Alligator mississippiensis: one gene and its partners. The protein of the gene in region 3 interacts with the protein of the main gene of each other region in a pairwise test. Links are inferred from orthologs where the notes say so. Each region holds a gene or a part of one and is shown on either strand. Other genes may lie near its edges.

What was found.
Region 1: the proteins of NTAQ1 (region 3) and NUDT14 interact in binary tests that used the Homo sapiens proteins (3 or more experiments, as listed by UniProt). The two-hybrid records come from large-scale screens. The link is inferred for Alligator mississippiensis from reciprocal best matches to the Homo sapiens genes NTAQ1 and NUDT14.
Region 2: the proteins of NTAQ1 (region 3) and GMDS interact in binary tests that used the Homo sapiens proteins (3 or more experiments, as listed by UniProt). The two-hybrid records come from large-scale screens. The link is inferred for Alligator mississippiensis from reciprocal best matches to the Homo sapiens genes NTAQ1 and GMDS.
Region 4: the proteins of NTAQ1 (region 3) and FTH1 interact in a two-hybrid assay, tested with the Homo sapiens proteins (2 studies listed by BioGRID and IntAct). The two-hybrid records come from large-scale screens. The link is inferred for Alligator mississippiensis from reciprocal best matches to the Homo sapiens genes NTAQ1 and FTH1.

The regions. Positions count from the first base shown.
Region 1 is NC_081825.1:290,254,590-290,261,949, reverse strand, and holds the start of NUDT14 (uridine diphosphate glucose pyrophosphatase NUDT14), read left to right. Parts: upstream 1-4,347; 5' UTR 4,348-4,375; coding exon 4,376-4,456; intron 4,457-7,360. UniProt on the Homo sapiens protein: Hydrolyzes UDP-glucose to glucose 1-phosphate and UMP and ADP-ribose to ribose 5-phosphate and AMP. The physiological substrate is probably UDP-glucose. Poor activity on other substrates such as ADP-glucose, CDP-glucose, GDP-glucose and GDP-mannose.
Region 2 is NC_081826.1:119,358,334-119,366,175, reverse strand, and holds the start of GMDS (GDP-mannose 4,6 dehydratase), read right to left. Parts: upstream 3,006-7,842; 5' UTR 2,752-3,005; coding exon 2,653-2,751; intron 1-2,652. UniProt on the Homo sapiens protein: Catalyzes the conversion of GDP-D-mannose to GDP-4-dehydro-6-deoxy-D-mannose.
Region 3 is NC_081826.1:20,601,402-20,608,264, forward strand, and holds the start of NTAQ1 (protein N-terminal glutamine amidohydrolase), read right to left. Parts: upstream 3,002-6,863; 5' UTR 2,600-3,001; coding exon 2,526-2,599; intron 1,077-2,525; coding exon 977-1,076; intron 559-976; coding exon 508-558; intron 1-507. UniProt on the Homo sapiens protein: Mediates the side-chain deamidation of N-terminal glutamine residues to glutamate, an important step in N-end rule pathway of protein degradation.
Region 4 is NC_081825.1:179,165,677-179,173,628, forward strand, and holds the start of FTH1 (ferritin heavy chain), read right to left. Parts: upstream 3,007-7,952; 5' UTR 2,844-3,006; coding exon 2,733-2,843; intron 890-2,732; coding exon 743-889; intron 1-742. UniProt on the Homo sapiens protein: Stores iron in a soluble, non-toxic, readily available form. Important for iron homeostasis. Has ferroxidase activity. Iron is taken up in the ferrous form and deposited as ferric hydroxides after oxidation. Also plays a role in delivery of iron to cells.

The DNA of each region.
Region 1 (7,360 bases), on a different chromosome or scaffold from region 3:
TATTGGCCTCAAAAGCATTGATTTAAGTCCCTTTTCTCTTAATGAGTAGCTGTTGATTCACAACATGTGCAAGTTAGTGGGGACAGCAAGTTTTTTACACATTTTAAAACATGGTATTTAGACATGATGTGGCTGTTGCTTAAATTCAGTAATGAGGGAAATGACGTTCGTAAAACAGCTTGTAAGCAAATGTGTAGCAGCAAAATGTGAATGAATAGAAACTTTAGGCTGCAAGATCAATACGACTCGGTTTTGAAACAGAAAGAAAAATCTGACACAGTAGGTGTAAATTAAGAAGAGAGATTTATTCCTGTTCATCAATACTTCCTGTCTGTCAGTGCTTTGAAGATAATGTCACTGTTGGTGCATCCACATGAGATGCTTTACTGCACATTATGCTAATCTAATGTGCAGTAAAGCGTCACTGTCTACACATGTGTGGAACTTAATGTACAGTAAATTAGGGTAATGTGCTGCTTACAAGTACCAGGAAATTCAGGTACTAGAGTAACAGCACATCTTTGCTCTGAGTCAGCCCAGGCAGCAGAGAGCCTGCTGCTGTCTAGCTAGGTCCCAATATGGGAGCGGGGGAAGCTGTGCCAGGTACAAGGGCAGCTGTCTCCCTGCCACGTGTGGATCAGGAGCTATGCTGATCCCCACATGGCCAAGAGAGCTGTCCTGGCAACTGGGACTGCTGCATCCCAGGTACGTGGAAATCGGGTTCTGACCCAATCCCCATGTGGTTGGGAGACCCGTCCTGGCAGCCGGAACTGCTGCATCACAGCCACGTGGAGATCAGGTCATGACCTAATCCCAATGTGGCTGGGAGAACCGTCCCTGCTGAGTGGGGATGCCACCTGCGAGCCACATGGGGATCCGATCCCCACATAGCTGGCAGGCAGCATCTCTACTGAGCAAGGACAGCTTTCCCAGCCACGTGAGGATCAGGACTGGTGGCTCCCGTGCTTCCTGTCAGCTGCAGGGCTGGCACCCAGGGGAGCCGGGAGCTCTGCCTGGCTGCTGCAGGGAGGCAGAGCAGGGCAGGAACAGCTCTGAACTGGGCTGTTCCTGTCAGGCACAATTTGATCCCAATGGGCTGCCTATGAAGAAAATTCAGGCACATTAATTGCACATGTAGATATGCCCTGTATAGTGCAGGTACCAAGCAGCATTACTGATATGTTGTCACTACCCCACAATCACTATCACAAAGGGTGAGAAACTGGAGATTAAGTTCTGAGTTTATTATCAGTTAATTATGTAGCTCAACATTGCACTGAAGTATCCAAGATAATCTCCGTTTTTTTGTCTGTACTATATTTGAGAAAGTCTAATAAACAGGATAAGTTGAATAGGCAGTTGTTTTGGGGACTGTCATGTGGAGGTAAACTAGCAAATTATAGGGTTGATTGAAATGATGCATTTATGTAATGCTAAAACATAATAGTTGGTTTTAGGGCATATGGTGGGGCATTTTCATGATGTGGGCCCAAGTCTTGCAATGCAGGACACCTGTACTCACAGAGAGCCTCTTCCAAGGATCAGCAAAACATGCCAAAGATGTAAAATGTATCATTGTAACTTAGTTATCAGATGCAGCTTTGTGGTAGGATTTTTTTGCTGAATAGATCTACTGCTATAAGTATAATAAATGTTACCAGTAGCCAATATTGCCAATTTTTGAAGCTTTATTGAGAGTCTTGCAATATGTGGTATTTTTCTTAAAGCACTAGATTCTAGAGTCAAATGATTTTGTGAGGTCCTCAGCACTTATTAAAACAATAACAAATTTCTTCTTCTCCTGACTGAGGACAAAGGGTGGACAATATGTTGTGGTTGTACATTGAGTATACCTTAAATACTAGAGAACAAAGGAAAAAAACCCATAAACAACCAAACCCCCCCCCCCCCCCCCACTCCTTATGTTAAGCCACTCTAATGATGCGGGGTGACTTTTGAATGTTTTAACAAGACATTAAATAAGGACCTGATCCTGTAAACACTATCTACCAAGCATCCTGCCAACTACTGGAGATAACCCCCATTGAGTTCAGTAGGATTGATTATTCATTGTAGCAGGTATTATGGCTCCAATCCTGTAATTGCATCTACATGGTATATATGCTCACCTGTAGGAACTGATCCCTGTATCAGCATGAGGTCTGAGTGCAAATTATAGGTTGGTTTGCCTGCACGGATGCAGTGTTAGGATTTGTAGAAGTTTAGGTAAAGAAATTTACTTGTTACGCTTTTAATAAGCACTGAGGATCTCACAAAATCGTTTGACTCTAGAATCTAGTGCTTTAAGAAAAATACCACATATTGCAAAACTCTCAATAAAACTGCTAAAATTGGCAATATTGGCTGTTGGTGAGATTTATTATACTTATAGTAGTAGATGTATTCAGCATTCAGAGGATTGGTAATTTAGGCTCCACTTCTCCAAGTGCATACATATGGGTGGAACGTCCTGTGACTGACTGCAAGTCAAGCCAAGTCAGTCCCAAGGCTTCTGCAACTATTGGGGCACTTTAGATGCTGTAACAGCCCTTGAGATTAGTTGAGTTGCTTTGCATCATTAGTGATTCTTCAGGCAGAGTGATTTGGTGGTGCCCATCTCTCCAGGTATGGATGGCCATTGGCTTGCAGGGACCATGGAGCAGGCTGTACTGGTTGACATGGTACCAGATAGGCCTGGCCTGGCCTGTTGTGACTGACTGCACATAGCTGAAATGGAGCCAATGGCATTCTGAATGGATGCAAATATCTGCTCGCGCAGGTCCAGCTACAGTCGGGGCTATAGTTCTTTCTGCCATTCTAGTTCGGATTTAAAAAAAATAGTTTTTAATCTTCTTATCTAGATTTATACTTAGTGTAAGCAGTCTAGCACGCAGACATGGATTATACACTTCTATTTTCTGTAACGCATGCCGCAGGTTTTGTTAATCTCGGCTGACTGATTGGATTTCCCAAAATATTATGCACAATTGATTTTTGTTATAGAAAATGCAGCATGAATAAAAAATACCAAGCCATTACTTATCAATATGGGCCTGATCCTACAGAGATTTATACATGTGCTTGAGATATACGTGCAGTCTACGTGAAGTCAAAAATGCAAACCATTGCAGCAGTGCTGAGGTTTATGTTCCCAGCTTCCTACACACGTTTCAGAAAATATCAGAAATCCAAAAGCCCTAGGTTTTGAATTTACTAATCTTTAGTCAACTCTGTGAAGATTTGCTTTAGAACAAGCTCACAAAGAGGGAGGTGGCATTTTGTGAGCCAGATTTCTGCTACCTCCACACCCTACAGAAGACACAGATGTTCATAACCTTGTCCAGGGGGGTGTTTTTTTAAAGGGGTAGGAGTAATTCAATAAATAAACAGATGTGTGTGTGTGTGTGCAATGTATACATAGATGCATGTACATGTGTGCACATTAGGTATATAGACACACATGCATACATGTGTATAAAATATAGGCATATAAATACATATGCATTTGTGTATGTGCCTATATATGTATATACACACATATATGTACATGCATATATATACATTTACATGTATGTATATCTATATATTGAGGTACATATAAATGCACACACATATACATATATGCACACACACACGTAATCTATTCCTCTATATACACACATATCCACACACACGTGCATGTATACATATACACACATATAAGCACACATACATGTGTATCTATAGCTATCTATCTAGGTGTGGGGATATCCACATGTATATGTGGAGATTTATGCATATGTGTGCATATCTGCACCCCCCCCACACATATATACATATATATGCACACACACATATACGCACGTGCACACTCACATATTTAGATATGCACGCGCGCACACACATGCACACACACACACATATATGCACGCGCACACATACACGCACGCGTACATATATATGCACACACACATATACGCACGTGCACACTCACATATTTAGATATGCACGCGCGCACACACATGCACACACACACACATATATGCACGCGCACACATACACGCACGCGTACATATATATACACACACATATATATGCATGTGCACACATATATATGCACAGACATGCACATACATACATACACACACATACATACATATATATATATATATATATATATATACACACACACACACACACACACACACATACATACATACATATGTATGTATGTAAATATATATATCTATATAGATATATGTACACCCCCCCGCAGGAGCCGGAGCCGGCGCCGGTCCATGCTGCGCCGATGCCCGTGCCGGGGGCGGGGCGGGGCGGGGGGCGTGGCGGTGAGTGTGCGGGCTCCCGGGCCCCGCCCCCGGGCAGCGGCGCGCGCATGGAGGCGGTGGACGAGCTGTCGCTGCGGCCCTGCGCCGCCTCCGCGTTCCTGCGGCCCTTCCGCCTGCGCTACCGCCAGGTGAGTGCGGCCGCCCCGGGCCCGCGCTCACACGCCCTGCGCGGTGTGTGTGTGTACGTGTGTGTACGTGTACGTGTACGTGTGGTGTGCAGCGCAGCGCACACACTCACAGGCACGCGCCCCCTCATCGCCCGTTGCCGGAGGGGCTCTCGGGTGGCTCCCTGAGACAGGTGAAGGGAGAGGAGCGAGCGAGGGGCAGCGGTGCTCACTGCTGCCTGGATGCGCCGGAGGAGCCAGTGGGCCCTGCCCAGTGCTGCTTGGCCTGGAGACACGACCAGGCCGCTGCCGGGCCGGGCCGCCTCATGTGGCACCCTGACCGTGGGCCAAACCCACCAGCTACAGCTGTGACCTCCCCCCCCCCTCCGGTGATGGGGGCCACGAAAGGCACATCACTCATCACTTGGGACAACAAAAGACAAAACGGGGATGGGAACGAAGGTCGTAGCTTCAGAACGAGTGCCTGGAGAGAGGACACCGAGCAGAGCCCGCCAGACAGCGCCTGCTGGCCCTCAAACCAGTCCGAGGAGCCCGCGGACGCTGCCTGGAGGTGTGAACACACAAAGGACAGGAAAACAGCGCCACAGTCCTCAGGGGTCCTCCCGCCTGGAGCCTCCTTCCTGGGTCGATCTGGTGTCAGTTTGGTGACATCCAGGAGGAGGTTGACCAGGACCTCCTGGGACTTGGCGGGGCCGTGGATGGGGAGCACGTGAACAAAACAGTGCAGGGAGCTGTGCGCTCAGGACCTCGGTGACGGGGCTGCAGCCTGGCGCGCTCCAGGCAGGTGCATGCCGGGATCTCCCTTTGCGCACAGATGGGGCAGGCATCAGGCAGGTCCGTGAGCTGTGCCGGGCGCACACCTGTAGTGACAGCTCCGTGGAGGAGCTCCCATCTGAGGCCCCGGTGACTCGTGGGATGAGAGTGGAGCCCAGGGAATGGCGTCCTGTCAAATCTATCTGATGTACATTGGGAATGCGGGCCACTGCCCACCAAGTAAAGCTAAACACCCCCTTAATTTGCGGGCCATCTAAGTGAGCATCAAGTGATTACTGGGGAAAACTAAAGAAGAAAATGAAGGGGAACGAAACAGAGGTTCAAAATGAGTGCACTGAGGGGAGACACCGAGCACAATAACCAAACAGTGCTCACCGGCCCTCAAAGGAGTCCGAGGAGCCAGTGGGCACTGCCCAGTGACACGCTGCCCGGAGATGTGAATGGATGAGGGACAGGCCTTTTGATTTGCCATTCCCATTCGAGAACGTGGGCCAAAGCCCACCAAGTAGAGCTGTAACCCTCCTTCGATGAAGGAGGCCGCTAAGGACATATCACTGATCGCCTGGGACAGTTAAGGGACAAAACAGGGATGAGAGTGAAGGTGAAAGGTTCAAAATGAGTACGCTGAGGGGGGACCTTGAGGAGAGCACACCAGACAGTGCCCACTGCCCTCCAAGGAGCCAGTGGACACTGCTCTGTGAAACTCTGCCCGGAGATGTGATCAGACAAGGAACAGAAAAACAGTCCTGCCATTGCTGCAAGACCCCCGGCCAGATCCTCCTTCCTGCCTAGGTATATTGCTAGCTTGGTGAGGGCCAGGCCTATTTGCCACATTAAGGGATTGTGAGACAGTGCCCACTAAATAAAACTAAAGACCTCCCTCAAAAAGGAAGGCTACAGGGAAAGTGGCAACTGATTTCTGGGGACAAATGATAACAAAGCAGGGCCGGGAATAGAGGTCAGAGGTTCAGAAGGAGTGCACCAAGGGGGGACACTGAGCAGAGCTCACCAGACAGTGCTCACTGGCCCTCGAACGAGTCCAAGGGGCTAGTAGGCACTTCCAGGAGAAACTCTACCCAGAGACTTGAGCAAGTGAGGGACAGGCCCCACAGTCCTTGGGGGTCCTCCCGGTCCTCTTGGCCAGAGCTTCCTTTCTGGTGAGATAGATGGCCAGTTTGGCTAGGACTAGGAGGAGGTTGACCAGGAGGTCTTAGGACTTAGTTGGGCCACAGATGTGGAGTGCACAAATAAAAAGTTGCAGGGAGTGGTGCTGGAGGAAATGGTGCAGAGGAACAGGAGGTTCTGGAGGAGCTGGAGCAGGGGCTGTAGCCTGGTGCACTCCAGGTAGGTGTGTGCCAGGGTCTCCCTCTGCTCACAGAAGGGGCAGGTGTAGGGGGTGTCCATGAATTGTGCCAGATACACGCCTGTGGCAACAGCTCCATGGAGGAACCACCAGCTGAGGTCCTGAGTGGCTCGTGGAATGAAGGTGGAATATAAATAAGCTTGTCCACTGGAGAGCGGTGTCCTGTCCAGAAATGGTTGTATGTATGTATGTTAAGCACGTGTATATGTATGCTTATGCACGTCTGTCTGTAGATTTATGTTAAGCGGGCACTGGGCCCAGCCCTCCAGGGTGGGGTGAAATTGAGAGAAATCCTCCCCCAAGGGTGGTAAGATCCTAAGGCTTGTTTGTTAGATCCTGGAAAACAGTGGTCCTCACAATGATAAGCCTGCCTTTTCTCAGTTCAGGTGCTAGATACTATACAACTAGTTATGGGGGCACCAAAAGAAAAACACTGGGGTAGGCGCGGGGGTCACAGGTTGATCACGAGGGATTGGAGTGGGGACTCCAAGCACAGCACAGCACAGCAGGCCGGTGCCCGCTGCTCTTCAGCTATGTCCAAGGAACCAGTGGATACCACCCCATGAAACTACTCTGGGGACATGTGCAGAGGAAGGGCTGGAAAATGGTCCCATAGTCACCTGGGGTCACCCAGTAAGATCCCCTGGAAGAGCCTGAATGATGACCTTAGCCAAGCTGGGAGCCATGATTCTCATGTTTTTTGCACCGTTTCAGAGAGCTCAAGTCTTCCCTGTGTGGGATGCAACATATGATAGTTTGTATTTATACGG
Region 2 (7,842 bases), about 99 Mb from region 3:
CAGCAACCATGTCCCATTTAACAAATTATGTTTGTTGCCCGTGAATCTGAACACGCTTGGTACAATCAGAGATGGAGAAGGCCATCCTTACTGTGCTAATATGTAGTTGTTATAAGCAATTAGTAAAAGGAAATATAAATTCTGCCCTTTCCAATCTTAAAAAAACATAATGCTTACAAATGGTGATGCACTGATGACAGCCTTAAGCATTCATAAGTACAAGCAACTGTTGTATAGTATCTTTCTGACACTTTTCCAAGTAACCATTCCTCCAACAGCAAACTGCACTGCACATATAACTGGAGTATGGACAAGGCATACCCATGCTAGCTTTTAGCTAGCTAACAAAGGCAACAATAGTGCTGTCACACCTTCAATACAACTACATCATGAACTTGCAACCAAGAACATACTCCAAATACAGGAAGGTTAGCACCTTCATTGGGTGACTGCTGGTCTTAGTTAACCTACACAGCATTAATGAAGATGTGGCAGCAAGGTTAAAGCTACCCCTGCTATGGACACATCTTCATTTCTGCTGTGGATGCCCTCAGCAGGAAACACCAAAACATGTTCACTTTCTGTGCGGACCCATTCCAGTCCTGGGCCTCTGTCCAAGATCTCCATTGTGAGAGTGTACTGTAAGGGAACTGTATAGTCAATCGTGACCACATGACAATTAATAACTAGCCTAAGGAAGGTTTATTTCACAAGAAGAAGATACCATTTGTAGGAATTATTGGTCTTTCAGATCACTGATTTTAAGGGGGGAAAAATCTTGTATACAGAAGACTTTTCAGGGATAGCACAGAAAGTTAGTGAGATGTGTACAATTTGCTCATGTAGACTAAGATATTACCTTAGACTAGTGATGTCCATCTGTGGGCCAGATCCTGCATGGAAGGCCACATCATTTGGCCCTTGAGTCTCCCCATGGGTCCAGAAATGTTGCAGCAGGAGGAACAGTAACTAATGCAGTCACTGCTCCCCTATCACCAAATTTCCAGACCCATGACCTGATTGACACATTTCTGTAGACTAGTCCTAGCCTGCAGGCTAATAGTTGAGCTCCACTGCCTTAGACACTATGCAGCAACAAAAGCATCTCTCTCTGGTCTGTGGAGCTTTCCAAATAAATCACTTGTACCATACAACAGTTCAAAGCTGCTAGAGCAAGCAGCTGCATGCAGCTTCTGCATCACAGAGCAAAGGGGGCTGTCACTTGGGCAACTACAGAGAGACAGTATATAATAGCACAGGGCAACTTTAAGGCTTCTGACAGATGGCTATAAGAGGCAGCAGATCAGGATGATAGCATCCACTGCCTCCTCAAGGCCTGGCTACAAGCCTGGGCCAATGGTGTCGCTGCCACCAGAGCTGGACCCAGCTGAGTACCAGCTGTCTGTAGAGAAGCGGCAGGCTGAGCTCCTGGAGATCTGCGCTCATTCCAAGTGCCACCACCAGCTGCAGCTCAACAACCTGTGCCACCAGGACCTCAAAGATCCTGCTTTGACCCATCAGACCTATGCTAGAACACACATCTATCCATATTTCAGGCCTGGTGCCAAGACATCAGTATTGGGAATTTTATGTGGGTTAGGACCTATTCTCTTCTTGTGGTAAACCTTCTCAGCAGATAGTGCTTGTAAAGACAGACTGATCCAGGAAGGCAAATATAAGCAACTGTTTCATCTCTCCTCTTGAGCCTGGGAACCAGATGTTGCAATACCGCGATTGGGCCGTTTGCAGAACATCCAACATCTTGTACAACGGTGAGACTGACTCTATATAAAAATAAACTGTATGTTACTCAGAGGGTGCATCTACACACACGCCCAACTACGCAGTTGTTACTGCACAGTCATTTCGTATTTGACTTAGCAAGTACTAAATGACTGCGCAGGAGTAATTTCCAACCCTACTGCACAGTAGCAACAAACTGGTTAGTACTGCACAGTAACATCAGTGTGACTGTTTGTGCCCACTGACGCTATGCTGCTGTAGCTCATCGCTACAGCGACACAGCATTTTGTGTACACTCGCCCTAACAGATGGCACAGCCAGAGAAGAATGACTCAGGGAGAAGTCGGGCTGAATGGGACCTCCAAGTTACCTAGGCCAAGCCCCCGCCCGACTTAGGAGTATCGCTGTCCAAACCACCCTATGCACTCCATCCCCTAAACTCTACGCAAGGCTGCCGTCAGCCCGCACACAACACAGACCTAACACCCTCACCTGCCACAGGCAAAGCAGGGGACCCAGGGTCCTACTTCTAAGAAATGCTGCCAATGTACATTCAAGAGCTCCCAGGATCACACGCCCACTACAGAGGGAGGCAAAGCCCCCCCTGCTCACCAGCCCCAGCTCGTACTGCATCTCCTCCGTGCTTCCCTGAGCTTCAGTGCCCTCCCTCCTACTGCACCTTGCTCAAACCCCAGGGGAGCAGGGACAGCAGAGAAAAGTGCAAGTGGCTACTACTGCTGCAAAGCCCTGCCACCCCAGCCCCCTGACGGAGAAACACCAGTGCTGCCTCCCTCCCGCCCACCTTTTCCATCAGCCTGCTCTGACCATGAGTCTTGCCGCCCGGCATCACCATCATCACTGTGGCTATTGCCGCCGGCTACCATCGTTGCTCCTGCTACCATCGCTTACCTGGCCCGTGATGCCCGTGATGAGCGCGACCTTCCTGGCACTCATGTCGCCCGCCGCGCAGCTAGAGCCGGAGCCGGGACAGGAGGGTGGCTGAGCCATGTGGAACGGGGAGGGCGGGGGGAGCGCATGGGCCGCCCGGAGCCGGGAGGGGGCGGGGCCGCCCAAGGGCGGCGATTGCTCCTCAGGCAACGGCCGCCGGGCGCGCAGGCACTTCCGCGTTCCGCCCCGCCCCGCTGCAGCGCGCCCACCTCGCCCCGCCACACCTGTCTCAACCCCGCTCCCTCCGGGCACTTGAAAAGCGAGAGCCGCCGCCGGCCGCCAATCACGAGCAGCTACAGAAACACGAGCCACCGAACCTGGCGGCTCTCGGGCTGCGATTGGACAATGGCGGCAAAGCCCGACTTCCGGGCTCCCGGGAGGAGGGGGCGGGGCGCCCCCTGCAGGAGGGAGGAGCACACTGCAGCCCGGGCCGCTGCGTTGCTCCTGGCAAGGGGGCGTGGGGCAGCTGGGCATCCCAGGCGGGACGTGAGGTAGCAGGTTGCGCCCACCCCCTCGCATTGGATTCCTGTGCTGCCCGTCCCCTCTGTTCTCTAGAGTCAGGCCAGGACAAAAAGAGTTTAAACTATATACAGGTTTATTAATATATATAATACACACACACACACACAACCCAAAAAGTGATATTAATAAATATATACACTTGTCATATCAGGCTTTAGTCTATAATTGGTGACCAGGAAATGATACCACCACCAATGGCCTCGAACCCAGCACAGGTAAGTAACTGATCTGAAATGGGTAAGCACAGGTAAGTCCAAATAACCAACAAGTAAATACAGGTGAGCAGCAAATAAATACTGGCAAACCACAGGGGGGTGGGTATCAACAAGGGATTCAACAAGACAGATAAATATATATTCAATATACAACAGATAAACAGCAACTCCCATTAGAAATAACAAAATATCAGGCACTATCTACAAAATATGAGGCACATGCACACCCGTCAGTGTACCAAGTCACTGGGAGTACTGGAGATTCCCCTTTGATGCTAGGAGCCTTGGCACTGCTCCAAAAAAGGGGAGAAGGAAGGGCCCCCAGAACCTCTCAGCCCCTCACGGGCTTGCCGGGGACCCCTTCCTTGCAGGGCCCTCTGCTAGACCCCCTTCCAGGGGCTTTCTCCCCTGTGGGAACCCTTTCCCCAGTAACTCGCAGCTCCCGTGGGCTATGTGGGGTCCCTGTCACCCCAAACTTGGTTTCTTTCAGCTGATGAAGATGTAGGCCTTTGGCTCCTGCAGGGCCTCTGATCCCCTCGCAGCCCTGTGCCCCACTTCAGCCACTGAGGGCTCTGCCTGCTGCTCATGGTTGGGGGCTCAGGCCGTCTTCTGTGGCTCCGAGACCCAGGTCCCTGCCTGGGACCAGGTGCACAACGAGTGTGCACGTGAGTCCTGGTTGTGTGCCAGGAAATGGCGGACCCGAGCTGCCTTGAGCAGTTCCCAGGGTCAGGGTCCCACTGCACCACACCACACTACCGGCTCTGGGTTTACGGCCTCACGCCAGGGGTTGCAGACCCGAGCTGTCTTGTGCAGCTCCCAGGGTCTCGCCCTGTGCGCCGCACTATGCACCGACTGGGGCAGAAGCCATCTGCCGCTCCTTCTGTCCAGCAAGAGGCGTCTTCAGGTACTCTTCAGGAAAACAGCATCCACCTGCTGGGCTGCTCTTCCTCAGCTCTTTCAAGCCCCGCTCTCTTCTCCATCTCTCAAAGCATCTGCCCGCGTGTCGGACATGCTGTTCTCTTATCCCCTCTGGAGGCTCTACCCCTGGATTGTAAAGGGATCAATTAAGGTGAGGTGGAGCCCATCTACAACCAGGTGTTCACCTTGCCCTGGGTAGGAGTGGCCCAGCCCTTCCCTAAGTGTGACCTAATTGGTGGGAACAGCTATGGCCGACAAGCCTGCCACAAAATGATACAGTAAATTAATGCACATGCCAATTAAGTCTTTTTTTTTTTTTTTTTTGCTTCAATCTTAGATTGAATGCTATAGCTCTAGGCCCTTATATACTAGTGAACCTTCCAGTTTGTTTTTAACTGGAGAAAGATATGTGTTGTGTTCTGTGTGATAATGCACCACATCAGCTATACCCCCTCCTCTTTTCAGAATCCTAGATCTGGTCATGGGCTTTCCCCTTCAGCTCCAAGAGCAAAGACCGTCAGCTAGAGAAGCACTGGCTCAGCAGTGTGGGAAGGTAGCAACTAAGCTTGTCTTAGCAGCAGGTATTTAAAACCACCAAAGGATGCAGCAGGGCTGGACAGGCAGGCACAGCTCAACGGGCAGGAACAGTGTTGTGCTTCCCATTTGCACTTTCATAATAAAACACCATTTCTATATGGGTGAGAACAAGAACCTTGAGGAAGAATCAGCACAGGATGGCTGTATCCAGTCCCCCTCACTAGATAGCACACCAGTAACTTGTCTTTCCCATCCACTCTCTGCTCTGGAATTCCAGCTTAATTCCATCAATGTTTTACGCTTCTCAGAGCTCCTTCCATCTTACAGACTGAGGTCTCAGTGATTTCTCTTACACAAGGTTGTTAATGACGGAAGCCTCCCTAATTCATCCTGAGTCTTAGGGCAAAGGAAAAAAATGGCAATTGTCACAACTTCTGGAATCAAGAAATTGGGAACCTCAACAAGAGACGGTATGGACCATATGGTGGTGGAGAACTCAAAGTTTGCACACAAATCAATTTTTAATCCAGACTCATTTCTTCTAAAGTTTTGTGGCTGGCAAAACTGATATCTATTGCTAGTAACTAGAGATTAAATAACTTGACCATGCATCAAGTCTAAAACTCCAAAATCATCCCCACACACACACTTTTTAGTTCTTAGCCACTTAATTGTTCTTTTTCTTTTCATCCAGTTAAGAGATATTGATTAACTGTATACACTTTACAGTCCTAGTATCTGGAAAATTGTCTAGTAGCTTACTGGAAGTGTATTCAAATTTCAATGTACTGGAATAGTCTGCTTCCCACAGGTATACTATATACGTTAGTTTCCGTTTATAGATGTTGCCCAAAGCACAGCCCCAGGTATAGCATGTTCAATCAATGTAATGTCAAGGCACAGAGGTATGTATTGTTATGGCCAGGTCCTAGTTGAGAAGGAAATGTTGCTCTGCACAAAGAGGAAAAGGTCTTTGCAGAGGCACTGCCTGGGAACTTAGGAGGAGCCCAAGATCAGTACACCATGCAATTTGCAGCAAACAAAAGCACACATGCACACACTGAGCTTCCATGCAAATGGTTGTTTGTAATACAGCATTTCTAAGGAAACTTTGAGTGGGTGTTCCAGTCTGATGTTGGGGTGTTGTGCTGTATTTAGTAGAAAGATAAAAATGTAAAATACTGTCTACTTCCGATTCTTAAGGATGCTGTGGTACTTTACAATGGTAATTGCATTTCCTAAAATAAAATTTCTTTTGACAAACATTTTCATTTATTTAATTTGATTCATATGCCACCCTACCCAAAGAAGGCTTAGGGCAGCTTACTATAAAGCCCACAAGGCATGAAACAGAAATAGACCTCCCAAACAACATCAAAACCTTAACAATCTCCACACCACTCACTCCTGCTCCCCTGCCTCTCAGGGAACATTCTCCCCACCCAATGCTTCCCAATCCCCTACTCACATCTGGGTCCTTTGCAGACAGACACCGTCTTCTCACATTCCCCAATGTGCACATGTTGTAGACCCACTGCCACTCCTACTCACCCAGAGAACTGTTCTCTCTTCCCCAATGTTATCCTGAACGACATACCTGACTCCGTTCAAGGAGGACTGTGACTGCCCTCCAAAACCCACAGATTTTTCCCCTTGCCTCCCCCTACTCAGCTCAGTAGAAAAGCAACACAAAACCTGGTCTTCCACTAACAGTTAATTAGGTTGTTGATAGAACAAAAAATTGTTACTATTGTTCAGACAAGGTTCCTTAAGTAAATATGATATTATCTTTTATTAGACTAACTAAAAAGTTGGAAAATTGTTCTTTGCAAGTTTTTTAGTTGGTCTAATAAAAGATATCACATTTACCCAAAGAACCTTGTCTGCTATGTGCTTGGACCAACATGGCTACAACCAACAACCCAGCATTTTGTTGACCATGCAATATATTCACAGTTCTTAGATGCAGATAATCCATTAAGCAGATGTACAAAAGTGCTTAATGAATCTGAGCTTCCAATGGGCTTTGTATTGTAAATCCCTTACAGACTTTTGCAAATTTCCTCTTTGAAATAACAACCAACAGTCAACCTCTCCACCCCCCACCCCCAATTTTAACTGACAAGCTATTTTTCTCTTCCCTTCAACAATATAACATTTTTCCTCCCCGCTATTAGATAATATTTCTGCATACAGGTACACACTTGCCATATTTCATTCCAAGAGTGGGTCCAACAGTTTCTGAACCTGGCTTATTAAGCATCATCTAAAAAAAAATAGTATACTTCATAATATGAAAATTACATTGCACCAATAGCTGTTTTTTTTAATTTGTGTCAAAGAAGATAAAAAACATACTATCAAATTAGCTATTCTTACCACCTTCAATCAGGATTCTTCAGTTAACCATTCAGAAAATATTAGTCTCCATTTTAGAGAGAGATTGGCTGGCTCAAATTATATGATCTGCATTAATCCATTCAAGTGCCATCTTCAGAAAGGAAGTATACTTGTTTTGCAGTTGATATTGACAAGATAGTCAATCAGTTATGCTTCTAGCAATGATTGTGGCAGGTTTTGCAGTATTTTGAGGAATTGCTTCAAATTGTTGTTTCTTTCCATTTACAGCCATCATTATACCACAAAGCAGAGGACAACCTGACAATAAGTAATTTAGTAGGCTACACCTTAGATATAGGATTGTTTTTATATGGGGCAAGGATGTCTCTTTAGGTTCTTTCTCCCACTAAAAACAAGCAAACAAAAATTCTTCCAGCAAATATGAGTTTTCATGTTTGGGTATGACTTCTGACTGATATATCTCTGCCAACCACAGTCCCATGTAGTTTTGTGAATCACAATGCATGTTTCTTGGTGCATCTTACATTGCTTAGAGATGGGGGAGGAGGCTGGATTGAGCTCTAACAGAAAAAGTGGCATAAATCATAACTAAATTAGG
Region 3 (6,863 bases):
TCAACATAGAAAGCTGGGAGGAGCACATAGAAACCTATCCATACATGTCACTGGGTGCAGCTTAACATCAAGCAGCTTCGATCCAGGGGATGGAAGCAAAGCAATAAAGAAGAAAGCAGCACGCTGTAAATATGGACTCCAACTCAGACAACATATGGATCCATGAAACTTGTAACAAGCTGTGTCACTCTCAAACTGGGCTTGTCAGTCAGGCGTTGGATCAGGCATCTGACTACTCTTATGTGTACACCATGCTCCAGAGGATTGACAGTTGCCTACTACTTGCCAGGCCCAGGACTGCTAAGCTTCTTGCTGTGAAGCTGCAAGATAAAGTCTAAGTGCATCTTGTCCATTATGCCCACATCAATATTTGATTTAGGGAAGAAATACTAGGAGAAATATGTGGCAATGCTAGTTGCAGTGTTTAATGTGCTACTAAAAGATGATACAACACTGCAGACAAAAGTATGTAAAAGAACCAACATAAAAGGGAATAGAATGCCTTACCCAAACTACAGGTTTATCTCCACATCCTGATCTCTGCTTCCAAAGTGGTATCTGCAAATTACAAGTATTAAGAAGTTCTTTTGAAGTAAGATTAAACAAACAGGTAAGATTTCAGACTATTACAGGACAAATTATTGTCTACTGGCTGACAAACTTAATTGGTTTATGTTTTATCTGTAATAATCATAATAATAAAGCTTCTATTAGTCTGAGGGTTTTTTTGGTGAGTTCCTAATTGGGGATCTATTTTGTATCCTACAATCTGTTCCATCTGTTTCCTACTAGGCTGAGGGATTTAATACATCTCAGGTTCCTGTCCAGTCCTGACTCACACATGCATGACAAAAATACTTTAGGGTCTTTCTTTGGCTTCCCATTATGCATGTGCCTGGGCCATCTTCCCACCACAGTGAAAAGGCCTGAATCTCAATTTGGTGGTGACAAATGAGTGATATGGAAAACAACTTACCATCTTTCTGTCGTTGGATATGAAAATAACATAAAATTCTTCTAATGGATACTGATCCTGGCTTTGGATGTATTCACAAAGCTTCCAAACATTTTCTTCACTGTAAAACACAAGGGATTTTATTTAAATGTCTGCTTCATTCCCAATTCATAAAACTCAGAGCAGGATAGCCACTGTGCTTTTCCCACTTTGAGCTTCTGCCCAGGACTTCCCGCCGACCCTTCCTTTACACACCTGTTTGTAAAGATAAAATTTAGAACTTAGACCTACGGTGTTTTTTTTATAACACAAATCTTCACATACAATTAATAAACAGTATTGCAGTCCAAATGTCTGACGGCTAAGCAGCAGCATTTGGTTGGCTCCAACTAAAATAAATGCTGTGCAGTATCGAGAGTTAGCATTGTGCCAGACTTTTCCCTTTCTCTTTTCCTCTGAAGAAATTACCCTTGAGTTGAGTATCCCTTTGAGCCCCTTTAATAAAAAGCTGGCCTGAAAAGAGAAATGCAGGTGGTGAAACGCATGTAATGTTTTAAATAGAAGGATAGTACAGAAACAATCCTAACAATGCCACTGAACAGCCGTTGGTTGGGGATGATCTATGCGTAGCTGTGCCCATGTTCTTTCGTGGGTATTCCCAGGTTTCTGGGCTTTGCTGGTTACCCCACCCCACCTTTCTGCTATATGTGTCAGGGTGTTTTTAAGCCTCCCCAGAGGCACTGGAGGTTAGCTACAGCAAGCCTGGGGACTCTGGGGTGCGCCAGTGCTCCCCCTGGGACCAAAGCCAGAGGTTCCTGGTTGGAGGGTCTCGCCCCTCCACTCAGTCAGACCCATCATCAGTGGGGTCAGGAAAGAATTGTACCCCCTGGTCAGACTGGTACAGGCTTGGGAGGGCTTTTGCCTTCCTTTATAGCAGGGGGCTTGGCGCTCTGCCCAGGATCTTTTGAGTGCAAACGGACAACATGTCATAGAGGCAGGACGCCGGCTGCTGTGGCGCCCCTGCTCTCCCCCGGGGCAGGCTGGGGTGTTCACATGCAGAGTTGAGAGCACGGTACGCGGGGGTAGCGGGGTCTGGATGGGGAGGACCCAGCTGACCCAAACCCCACACACCACTTGCTTGACCCCATTTACAGCCTGGATGGCCAGGCAGCCTGGCTGGAGCCTCCCATGCCTGAGCCCACAGCAAGATGCGACTGGCCGGCCCAGTCCCCAGATAGGCAATGCTGTTTCTTAGCAGTGGCTCTCGGGTGCCCCCGCAATATCACAAGCATGCATCAATCGATCACTTTTTTGCATAATTCAACTTTGCAAGGGACTCTGGGATGTAGTGTTCAAGAAGACAGTGTTTCCCTTCCGGCCCCCCCCCCGACCGGAGCAGCATTTGCTGGGCTGCTCGGGGCCGGGCGGTGCGTGCCCGCACCCGCGGGGACCGGCTCCCCCGGCCGCTCCCGGCTCCCGTGCGCCCCGCCTGGCAGCGCGGCCCGGGGCTGCACGGAGGGCCGGGGCCGGGGCAGCCCCGCGCCCCCGCACACGTGCCCGGCGCCCTTACCAGTAGCAGCTGGTGTAGACGCAGCCGTGCCGGGCAGGGGCAGGTGCAGCGCCCGCCCCCGCCGCCCGCTCCATCGGGCCCGGGCGCGAGTCCGCGGCGTTTCCTTCCCCGGGAAACCCGGCTGCAGCGACCGCTGCCGGCAAGAAGCAGCGCGGCGGCGGGGGCGAGGAGGGAGCCTGCGCCTGGCAGGAGCGGGAGAGGCCCGAGCCCGGTGTCAGCCTCCCCGCACCCGCACCCGCGAGCCGCTGCTCCGAGCCAGGCTGACACGGCACAGCCCTCCTCGCCCGACCTGCCTGGTGCTGTCAGTTTGCACTCAAGAGATGCCAGGCAGCTCTGCCAGAGAGGACGGAAAAAGCACCCCCCCAGTCTGGACCAGTCTGACCAGGGGGAAAAATTCCTTCCTGACGCCAATCTGGTGATCCGTCTGGCCCTGAGCAGAGGGGCGAGACCCTCCAGCTAGGAACCTCCTCCGGCCAGCACCCGAAGTCCCCAGGCTTGGCTGTTGCCAACACCCAGTGCCTCTGAGGGAGGCTTAAAACAGGTAGCAGAAAGGTAAGGGTGGAGGCAAGCAGCAAAGCCCAGAAGCCTGAGAAATCCCCATAGAAGAACACAGCGCTACACCTAGATCGTCCCTGACCAGTGCCTGCATTGGTGACGTGTAGAAGGTGAACACAGGTGCACGTGCACCCCCAAAGCTTGGTGGTGCACCCCTGCAAAAAGCGCCTGGAGGCAGTTGCTGCTTGCCCACCCCCCACCAAGGACACCGCCAGTGGCATCTGCGGGTGGTCCCTGATTGCCGCTGGCTGCTGTTTCCAGCGGCATCTGCGGGTGGTCGCCAACTACCCGTTGCCACTCGCCGCCCCTGCCGCCAACAGTGCCACAGCTGCCTGCAGGAGCTTGCCGCTGCCACCGCTGACAGCGCCACCACCGCCTGTGGGAGCTCGCCATGCTCCCCACAGCCTCCGGGGGCACGCAGCATTCATGAGTAACTGTCCAACCTCTTCTTGGATACTTCCAGTGATGGGGAGTCCACAACTTCCCTAGGCATCTCTTTCACTGCCTCACTGTTTTAACAATGAAGAAGTTTCCCAGGGGCATGGAAACCAGCCAGAGAGAAAGCATAGTTGGTACCTGGTGGGGCAAATACTGTCATAGTAGAGGCAAGTGCTTCCTCTTGGTTGCATTTAAATCAGTGGCAGGAGAAGGAGATTCCTGGACTAGGTTTTAAGCCCCAGGAACTTGCAGATGCTTGAAAGTCTTCTCGGTTACCACCAGCAATCCCTCAATTGGAGGATGATCTCTGCCACAGCTCATTGATGGGTCTTGAGGTGGCTTAGAGTCCAGAGGTCCACCCACAGAAATTGCAGGTCTTTCCGCAGGGGAGAGTAGGCTGTGGGCTGATTCCTCTCCTTTTCCTCCTTCCACTCTCTCTTCTTTGAGGGCAAGACACTTTACCTCAAAACGTTTGAGGCTTCTCAATGCCTGGGCCATAAAACAATGTCTTCTTTAAAGCTGCTAGCTTTACCAAATGCATTCCAGAGTCTCTTGTAAAATTTAATTATGCAAAAGTTATGGATTGATAAATGCTTATGATATTACGGGGACACCTGAGCACCACTAATGAGAAATAGCTTTGCCTATCTGGGGATTGGGCCGGCCATTGACATATGCTGTGTACTAAGGCAAGGGAGGCTTGAACCAGACTACCTTGAAGCATTCAGACTGTAAATGAGGTCAAGCAAGTGGTGTGTGGGGTTTTGAGTCAAACTGAAAGGGGCTGCATGTGTTTGGTCTCTAGAAGTTGCTTTGGGTGTCACTTACCTTTTATAGTTTTAAACTCTTCTCATTAGCACACAGAAATAAGGAAATCAGTGACCGAGGGGTTTAAAGAAGTATTTGGTCTTTCTCACAATGATCAATTGTCCTGTCTTATTGCAAAGGAGGTCTTCTTTTTTCCTGACAACAAACCTAAACTGTCCATATTTGACCTACTAGTACTTCTGTTTTCTATTTTCACAGCTACTATGGCCCCTGTACATCCTGTTGCGCAACTTTCAAAGCAGGCCTGACACTTTCTCCAACTGCTTAAGGCTGTGAGAAAAATTATGTTTTGGTAAGGTTGGAGTGAAATACCAGTGATATTCCAGGAAATATGAGAGGAAAGGTTGTGGGGTTTGTTTTTTTTTTGGGGGGGGGGAGGAGGGGGTGATATCTTTTACTGGACCAACTGTATAGTTGGAAGAAAGTTAGACACTTAGACAGGTCTCTGGGAAAGAATTCAAAAGCTTATCTAATTTTACTCCAACTGCATAGCTGATCTAATAAAAGATATCACCCTCAAAAAATTTTTCCAGAACAAGACAGTTCTTAAAACTCCTGGCTTCACATCAAAACCATGGTGAGGTCTCCAATTAAATGTGTGGATAAGAGAATTTTGGAGTGTACAGATGTGAGGTTTCTGGCTGATGCCCATTTCTAACTGAAATATATTGAACTTTTCTCTTTTTTCTTTTTTTGGGACTAAAATCTTCATGTGAACTCTTCACGCATTTTCTTGCTAAAGAGGAGGGAAGTAAAAAAACAGTCTTGAAGAAAACGGGTTTGCTTTTCATTAAAATAATTTTATTTTGGATTGGAAAGTATAGTGTAACAATGTCTGTTTGGAAGACAGTGTGGTCTTTGTCCTCTCTCCCCTATCAGTTGAACCATATAGTACTAGTAGTGTATTCCCAAATCAGAACCACAAGATAGAAAAATGTATTTAGTAGCCAGTTTTAATGAAAATGTTGGTAACCAGGCCATAATTTAAGAGCTAATGGATTAGGAACCTACAATTAGGCCTTTTTTAAAATCAAGAACTTGTTGCTACTAAAACTAGTAGAGGATTATGCTTTGGGTCTGAGATCTTCGTTTCGGTCCCAGATGACAGCCCGAGATGTGGCTTAGTGCTGTGAAAAGGAATCATATATGAAAAATATATGAAAAGGGAAAACCTTTTTATGCTGATGATTATTTAGTATGGAAAAGAGAAGACTGAGGAGGTATTTGGAGATTAGAAGGAACTTTCTGACTATGAGGATGGTGAAGCACTGAAACAGGCTACCTAGAGAAGCTGTGAAATCTCCATCCTTGGAAACTTTCAAAAACAGTCTGGACAGACACTTGGCTGGGATGTTTTAGTCAGGGATAATCCTGCCTTGAGTAGGGGGCTAAATTAAATGACCTTGTGAGGTCCCTTCCTATGATCCTATGATTTTGGGTTTCCTAATCCATTAATTATGCAAGCAGGTGTGACTGAACTATTAAACAGAACTCTAATCTCCAAAATGGCTCTTACAATATGTCCAGATGTGTTTCCCCCCATCAAATAGGAACCTTGCTGTCATGGGCTGAATTTGGCCTTCTGTACTTGGGAGGTCAGGGAGGTGAGCAGGTAGGGAATCTAGAATGCAGTGCTTCACTGAAAGTTAATTTTACACCTGAGTTGATGTTCACCCAAGTTAATGTTTGCACCAAAAGTTAAAAACAGTTTGCAGGGCTGTGAAATAGGAGCTACATTATCAGGAGCAGCTAAAAGACAGGAGAATTAAAGAAGAAAGGCTAGCTTTATTAGTGGTATGGCAAGACCATTTACAAATCAGAAAGGCTTGTGGAATTAAGAGCTTAGAAAGAATCAAGTAGATGATAATGAGCCATGAAGTCAAGTGACTCCCTCACTGCTACCTGAATAGAAATGCTGCTGCCACTGCCAGGCCCTTTATTTTAAGTCTTGGGTGGAAGAGGAATCAAAGGTGGGAGGTGTGACTGCAACCTTGCGCTTCCCAGATCTGCCCCTGTGCTAGATAAATATCTATTTTGGTTAGTCTATAACAGAGGTGAGTAAAGTCCAGGCTATGGAACCTGCATCGCTGTGGATGGTTTCCATGGAGACCCCAGCAGCGGGGGCGCTGGCCAGGGTTTCCATGGAGATCTGCCTCAGCAGAGCTGACAAGCCATGCAGCTGGGTGGGGAGCTGCGTTGGGGCTGGGATCTTGCAGTGGGATCTTGCAGAACTGGGCCAGAGCTGCGATCTGTGGCCCACACACCCCAGGCTGGGATGTGCAGGCAGCGGATCACAGCTCTGCCCCAGCTCCAGCCCACGCTGTCACCACGGCAAGATTCCAGCCCCGGCCACAGAGCCTCTCCCCGCCCAGCTGCATGCTGGGGCCGGTCTCCATGGAAACTCTGGCCCCACACTGTCACAGACCCCACTGCTGGGGTCTCCATGGAAACGGGCCACAACTGTGTGGGCAGGGGCTGCTGGGCAATGGGATCCAGCTGCAGGCCAGATCTGCCGTT
Region 4 (7,952 bases), on a different chromosome or scaffold from region 3:
GGATCAAAATGGAATATGGCAGGTATGTCCCTCACCCTGCCTGTCTAAGAAGGTTGGTTCCCACTGTGGTACAGAAATAGGGGGCAGGGAGAAGGGACTAAGAGGAAATGCATGAAAATAAGATGGATAGAAAACTATGCACCTGCTTTTTATAGCAGTATTCTCTTGTATTTGTCATTTTTGCTTTGACATTAGATACTTCCACAATAAGGAAGAACTTGGAACATTGCAGTGTCAGAATCACAACACATGGCGGCTCAGGTTGATTATCTATACTGGCTGAAGGTCTGTTCAGTACCAGCTCCCAGCTCAGCTACTCCTACGGGATCCTGTGGTGAAGGCACAGCATGCCATTGGAACCACCATCATAATTTCCATGTTTCCATGGTAACCATGGATCTAAAAAGAACATCACATCACTGCAACACAAAGCACAAGCTGGGCTGAGGGAATGCCCCTGTGTAAACCTCACAAAACAGACCAGCAGAAAAATTTAGACAGCTGCTTGCTTAGTGCAACTCCAGCCCTATACACACATCTCATCCTTTCTTTACAACGCACACCAGCATTAGAGTGGCCGTCAGGTCAGTGTTGTTCACCAGTCCCTCACTTACTGTCATGACAGTCTGCACCGACTTAGAAACTCCTCCCCTTCCAGCCTGGGCCTAGCTTTAGAAGACAGAGGTTGGCTGCAGGTCCAATGTACTCTGTGTCCTTGAGGTGCATTTGCAGTGCTGCTCACCTTGATGTCATGCAGGAAGATGCGACCACCCCGCTGATTCTGCAGTTTCATCAGTTTCTCAGCGTGTTCACGCTCTTCGTGCGACTGGTGCAGGAAATACTTGGCAAAGTTTTTCAGAGCCACATCATCACGGTCAAAATAGTAAGACTGAAAACAAAATTAAGATACTAAAGACTTTGGCCAACAAGTCTCACAGCTATAAGGAGCAAATCTGCTACAAACCCAGATATTCTCAGTATTGCCCTAACTATACAGTAGCCAGACCAACGGAGAAGCAGCTGCCATGATGGCAAAAGTTTACTGGTAGGAGAGCTTGTAGTAATTTGCCATTTAACCAACTGACAATGGCTATTAACTGCCCTCAAGATTGGTGGGACAGCTCCCACCAAGAGCTCAGCTATTCTACTACCCAATACCAGATATTAAGTAGCTCACTATGCCTCTTTCTCATGCTGTGACCAAAGTCTAGACATAATCATAGCTTAGATTTCCAAGACTGAAATGGGTATTCTTCACCTGAGCAACACTTCACAAATTATAGAATCATAGAAAACTAGGGTTGGAAGGGACCACGGGAGGTCACATCCAGTCCAACCCCTGCTCAAAGTAGGAGCATCCCCAACTAGATCATCCCAACCAAGGCTTTGTCTAGCTGGGTCTTAAAAACCTCCAAGGATAGAGACTCCACAACCTCTCTGGGTAGTCTGTTGTAGTGCTTTACTGACCTCCCGGTGAGAAAGCTTTTCCTAATATCTAACCCAAATTTCCCTTTATACAACTTGAGACTGTTGCTCCCTGTTCCATCATCTGCCACCACTCAGAACAGTCTAGCTCAGTGGTTTTCAACTCCATGGTCCATGGACACCTGGGGGTTTGTAAACTTGTCTAAGGGATCTACAAAAGATGATTATGATCAATCAAAAGTATACAAATACCCACACTTACAATTCAAAGGGGCCTGTACCACCATTACAGTTTTTAGGGGGTCACAAATGGGGGGGAGGAAAAAAAGAAAGGTTGAGAACTACTGGTTTAGCTTCAACCTCCCTGCAAGTAGTCAGAGGCTACTAAATCCCCTCAGTCTTCTCCAGACTAAAGCCCAGGGTGCCTCAGCCTCTCCCAAAATGATGCTGGAAGACCAACTGCAGCAGGGAGACAGTGCCGTGTTCATGTTCCCCATCTTACTTGCCCACCCAACACCAACACTCAGACTGGCTGTCTAGAGAGCAATGCTACTCCAAACATCCATGAAGAGGGCGATTTTGACAGTTCTGGGGCCAACCTCGCTTTGCTGAGCCTAGCTTCAGAAGGTAAAGTGCGAGGCACGCCCCTGCATGTGCTGGGAGAGGAGAAGATGTCTGCCAACCAAGGCACTACGCACGGCTGCACCGTGGGGAACACGCTTGGCAAGTCAGGAGCCCGGGGGAGGGGCCGCAGTAGCGAATCCCGCTCTGAACAAGCCCGGATGCCTGGAGCTGGCACAAGGATGCACCCCTGCTCTTCCACACTAGGGCTCAGAGCCACCCCCCCGGCCTTGTTACCCACAAGGCACAGCCCAGCTAGAGCACTGCAGTTGGCGCCCACCAGCCCCGGGATGCGCTGCACTAAGCGCAGGGGAGCCGCAGCCCGGGAGCAGCAGGCCTGTGCGCCCGAGGCCCAGCTGCGGGCTCCCCGGGGAGGAGAAGGGAGGGGGGCGGCGCCGCCCGCTATCGCGCGCCAGGTGCGGCCGGGCCCCGCGATAACAGCCCCTGCAGGGCCCCGCGCGCTGGGCGGCACCAACTGCGCCACCGCCACGGTCGGGGCCGCCACCACTCCCGCCCCCCCCCCACTCCGGGCACCAACTTGGTACAGCCCCCCCAGCCTCCGCGGCGCCTACTTGGTACTCCCCCCAGCTCTGAGGTGGTATGTGTCGCCCCAGCCACGGCGCTGAGATGGTATGCCCCCCGCGGAGGGGGTTGGTACGGCCCGAGGGCGAGGACGGGGCGCTTACCATGCTGAGGTACACGTAGGAGGCGTAGAGCTCCAGGTTGATCTGCCGGTTGACGGCGGCCTCGCAGTCCTGGTGGTAGTTCTGCCGCACCTGAGAAGGGGACGTGGCCATGGCGATGGCGGGGCTACGGCTTCGGCGAGGAGGGTCGGAGCGGGCAGAAGCGGCGGCAGGTTCCGTCCAAACACTGTTGAAGCAGGAACCGCCCCCGCTAGGCTGGCGCGACGCTGCGCTTTGCTAGGCTACAAGTACGAAGGGACTGTGCCTTCTGAGCGCAACCCCCCCTGCGGCAGCTGCCTTTATAGACCGCGGCGCGTCACGACGTGGGCGGGGCCCCGGCGCGTGGGTTACGTCGTGGCCACGCCCAGCTCAGCCTTCTGCTCCGGCGAGGGGGGCGCGCTCCCTGGGGCACCGCGGTGTGACTCAGCAGGCGCCCGCACGGCTGCTTGCCCCGCCCCTCCCTGCCTGGGCACGAGGCGGCGGTTGCGCCTGGGGCGCTGCTACCCCTGGGCCACGCGCGCACGCCCACACCCGGGCAGCTGGCCCGGGCCCCGTGCACACCACAAACACGTGCACAGCTGTGCAGCTGGCCCAGGTCCCTTGTACGTCACACACGTGCACATGCGCACAACCATGCCGCTGGACAGGGTCCCTTGCAACATACATGCGCATGCGCAATCAGGTAGCTGGCCTCGGTCCCTTGTACCCCCCCCTCCCGCCACACACACGCACGCACGCACGCACGCACACTCACGCTACGGAAACTTAAAAACATAGACCACCTTCCCAGCAACACACTCCTAGCCACCATGGATGTTACCAGCCTATACACCAACATCCCACACCAGGATGGCATCCATGCCTGCCTTACATATCTACAGGAACAAGATTACAACCCAGAATACAGACCCAAAGATATCGCTGAGCTTATACACTTCACCCTCACACACAACAATTTCACTTTTAATAATCAACACTTCCTCCAGACGATGGGAACAGCTATGGGCATTAAAATGGCCCCACAGTATGCCAACCTTTTTATGAGCCACCTGGAAGAAGACTTCCTCAAGAACTGTACCATCAAACCCTTGCTGTACTTACGATATATCGATGACATCTTCATCATTTGGAGTGAGAACCTGCAAACTCTGATTGAGTTCCACCAGAATGACTACTACACATACACACACACACACACACACCATGCCACTGGCCCATGTCCCTTTTACCCCCCCCAACACATACACATACAAAACCATGCCATTGGCCAGAGTCCCTTGTAACACCCATACGCACATGCGCACAACCATGTCGCTGGCCTGGGTCCCTTGTACCTCCCTCCCAACACACACAACCATGCCACTCGCCAGGGTCCCTTGTAATGCACATACACACAAACATAAGCATGTCGAGTGCCCAAGTCCCTTATACCCCCCCCCCCACAAATATAAACACAACCATGCCACTGTCCCATGCCACTTGTACTCCACGCACATACACAACCATGCCGCCAGCCAGGGTCCCTTGTAATACACACACAACCATACTACTGTCCCGTGCCCCTTGTACCCCCACACACATGCAGATACACATACACAACCATGCCACTGGCATGTAGCGCCCCCCTCCGGCCGCATGATCACCCAGGTTGTGGACACCCCAAGGCAGGTCTCCTCCTATACCAGAAACACTGCCCCTGAGCCTTTGGGGATTTCCGTTCGGCTTTCAATGTGATGTAGGACCTAAGAAACCAGAGTGGAGTCATTCTTACTCAGTCCACTAAAAAGAGCGGCTACGTGTGCACAATTCATGACGTGATCTCACCGAGACTTCACTTTCATGGCAGGGGGACATGTTGTGGCAGAGGGCACATCCGCGCCTGTGGCGCTCCGTGACAAGACATTCTGCAGTGTCTCTCCTGCGGAAGATCACACAGAGCTCTGCAAACGCTTTGAATAAAGAGTTGCCATTGTGGCTTCTGTGGCTCTCCCTGGCTTTATGGAGGGCTGGCTACAAACAGAAATAAGGAAGCATGGGAATGCTTTGTCCTGAGATGGGGTCTGTCAGTGCTCAGATCTGGTTTCCTTCTGTGAAGCAGAGGGGCATTGGTATCGCAACTGAGGTAGTTGGTTTCCAACAACTAAATTGCCTTGCATAAAAAACAATTCAAAAAGCCAGAATGACCCAAAACTTCCAGACTGTAAAATAAAGGCAAATGCAGCCCTTATTTACCTCTATACCACTCCCATGATATCATCAGTCCCAGAGTAGTAAACAACACAATTTTGCCTGAAGGACCTGAAAGAAATTAAGTTAGGGGTTACTGTTGTTCCAAGAGAATTAAAACTAGTTGGCTTTAATTACTACAATATTAAACAACCCAACTGCCTAACAATTAAGGTATTCTAGAAAAAAAAAGTTTCCTCATAATCACAACCCACTTATCAGTTATTTTTCGAGCGGCTTGTTTTGAAGATGAGAGGACTTACACAGGAAATGAGTGTTACATTATTGGGTAACAATGATCGCCTATTCAGGTTTGACATCACAATAGGCAGAGATTTCATGGAGATCACACAACAAGAGTGAACTATTTTAAACTGGAGAGGAACAGTGTGAAAAACCTATTGACCTGGGTGCTATTTACAGGAAAATAAGTAACCATCATATAAAGGGCAAAGTTCCTGGTAAGTCAGCAGGAACAAATGTAATTGTAAAATACTGCAACTCATCCAAGTTGTTACTGGGATTAGCATTAGGGCCTGGAGTTCATTTTATACCTACTTGAAGAAGTGAACAGCAAGTTGTAGCAGGGCAATGATGTAGGAGGATATGACACTAAAGAAGAAGCCTAGTAAGAAACGGAACATATTCCTGGCTTTAATCACTGATCTGCATTACGGTTATATAATGAGAGGTGTCAGCATCCATTGACTGCACAGTTAATGGAGTACATACCTTTTTAATTCAAATTGAATGCAAATAAAGACATGAATGGAGTTAAAATAAGAATAAAAAATTAACATGGCCATTTAAAAATAAAGTAGGAAGTCAAGGATGAAAACTTAGGTAAAAAGGTAGAAAATTTGCACCCTTTGTAAAGATGAATATTTTGTCTCATTCAGTACTACTAAACCCCAAGAATTCAAAAACCATGATTTTCTTTCCTTTTTTCTTTGATAAATAAACATTGTATTCTTTGAATTGTTGCATGGTTACTGAGCTGTTTGCATGCACTTGGGTCACAAACGTAACCATGAAGGCTAGGCGCTTCCTCTTTCAATTGAAAGCTGAGGTTACCACATAAACCTGTGATTTTAGAAGCTAGGACTTCAAGAAATACACCAAATATCACAGGAATCCAGATAAAAGGACAAGAGTTTATTTGATATTGTCAGTGATAGTACACTTTGGTGGTGTGTAGATGTCTTCAGACCCTCCTCTAGAACTGCCCATCAGTTGCTTTGGCAGGTTGCTAGCCATGCTTCCCCACACACCTTACAGTCCCCCAACTTACAAATAAGATAGCTCTTTGACATTCTTTTCTTAGTATTCTTCATGTTCTAGTTTTCCGGTACATTGCTCCTTTTGCAATTACTTCCGACTTACTATGCTTGACTCGAGAAGCTTGCTGGATCCTGGTTATTGTTTCTCTGTCCCTGATAAACCTGGACATTGGTGACTGTGACAGATCATTTCAAAGTGTGTTGTAGTATTCTAACAATACTCAGCCTGCAAAGATTTCATTCTTAATCAAGTTCTGAGCTATTTGAACTGATTCCTGCTAACCCCTTGAGTAGGCAAGAAATGCCATCTCAATCACTGGTAAATTGTGAGTCACTTTATTTACTTTCTGGCACCTCCTAGTGTTTACAACACATTCTTGCCTTGTTATTTGAAGTATTGTGCAACACCTCTGCTTAAAAAACAATTCAATTGTAGTTCACTAATGAAAGGTAATCTTTACATTTGATTCAAATAGTCCTTGGGCTAAGGCTGACTAGGAGTGTCACGCAGTTTCATTCGTCAGGTATCCAAAGTGTAACCGTATTGGTCTGGAGGCAAAAGGAATCAGAACTTGTGGTAGAGGTGATACCTTTTATTAGGCCAACTAGATTTTTGCAAAAAAAAAGAAATCTTTAATTGCTGAAAGCTTGCAATTAAATAATTTTTAAAAGATATCACCTCTACCACGAGTTCTGATTCCATGTAGTTTCATCGGCTCTTTTAGCGAAGGCTATTGCTTGGATTCCCAGATTTGCATTAGCTAAATAAATAAATTGGCTCTTTTGAACTCTGCTTACGCAGGTTGTAACTTGCACACTTACATATTTTACTTTCTATTATAGTGTTCATGCTCAGCTAGAACCAGACATTTCAGGCTCTGCCCTTCCACTTCATATCCATGTGGCCACTGTGGAGTATGCTGTGCATTTCCAACATCAGTGTCTGGTTTTACAATAGTGTCCTTTATCCAGAATTCATCACATGTGACAATTTCATGTTCATAGTTTCAATAAAAGTTCAGCTTGAAGTACTTAAGATTCTTCTTTTGGCTATCCCTTTAGAATTATTCTCCCAAGCTTGTGTAGGGCTGTATTTTTCATTTGGGTTTGCCCAATTTTGTTTTAGAAATGGTGGTGTGTGTCACATTATCTTCACCTTCTTTTCCTTAAAACTTCTGGCTATAATAAGACAGTCCTGCTATAAACCACTTACCTGACCTGTATTTCATATTTCCTGTGTACCCATGCTTCATAATCATTTCCTGAAGTCTTGATGGTGCTTTGTACAATCATTTCCTAGCCCAGGGGTTTTCAACCTGTGGTCCATGGACTCCCAGCAGTCCACAGAGTATATCTAAGTGGTCCACAAAAGATGACTATGATCAATCAAAAGTAAGTGAATACCCACACTTACAATTCTAAGGGGTCCGCACCTCCGTTCAAAATGTCCAAAGGGGTCTGTACCTCCATTCAAAATAGGTTAGGCAAATTAAATGAAAGCAAAGCAAATGAAAAATGGTTGAAAACCACTGGCCAAGACTATTGTTTCCAGGGGTTTAATTTTTTTCTCTTCTAGTTGATTACTGTTCATAGTTATATACATGAAACTGCTCACAATTACAGTTTCCATTTTTTTTTTTTTTCAATCTTGGCATGGTTTTGCAGTGCTTTAGTCAGTGCTCAAAGAAAAGAACACTACAGTCCAAACTTATTCCTT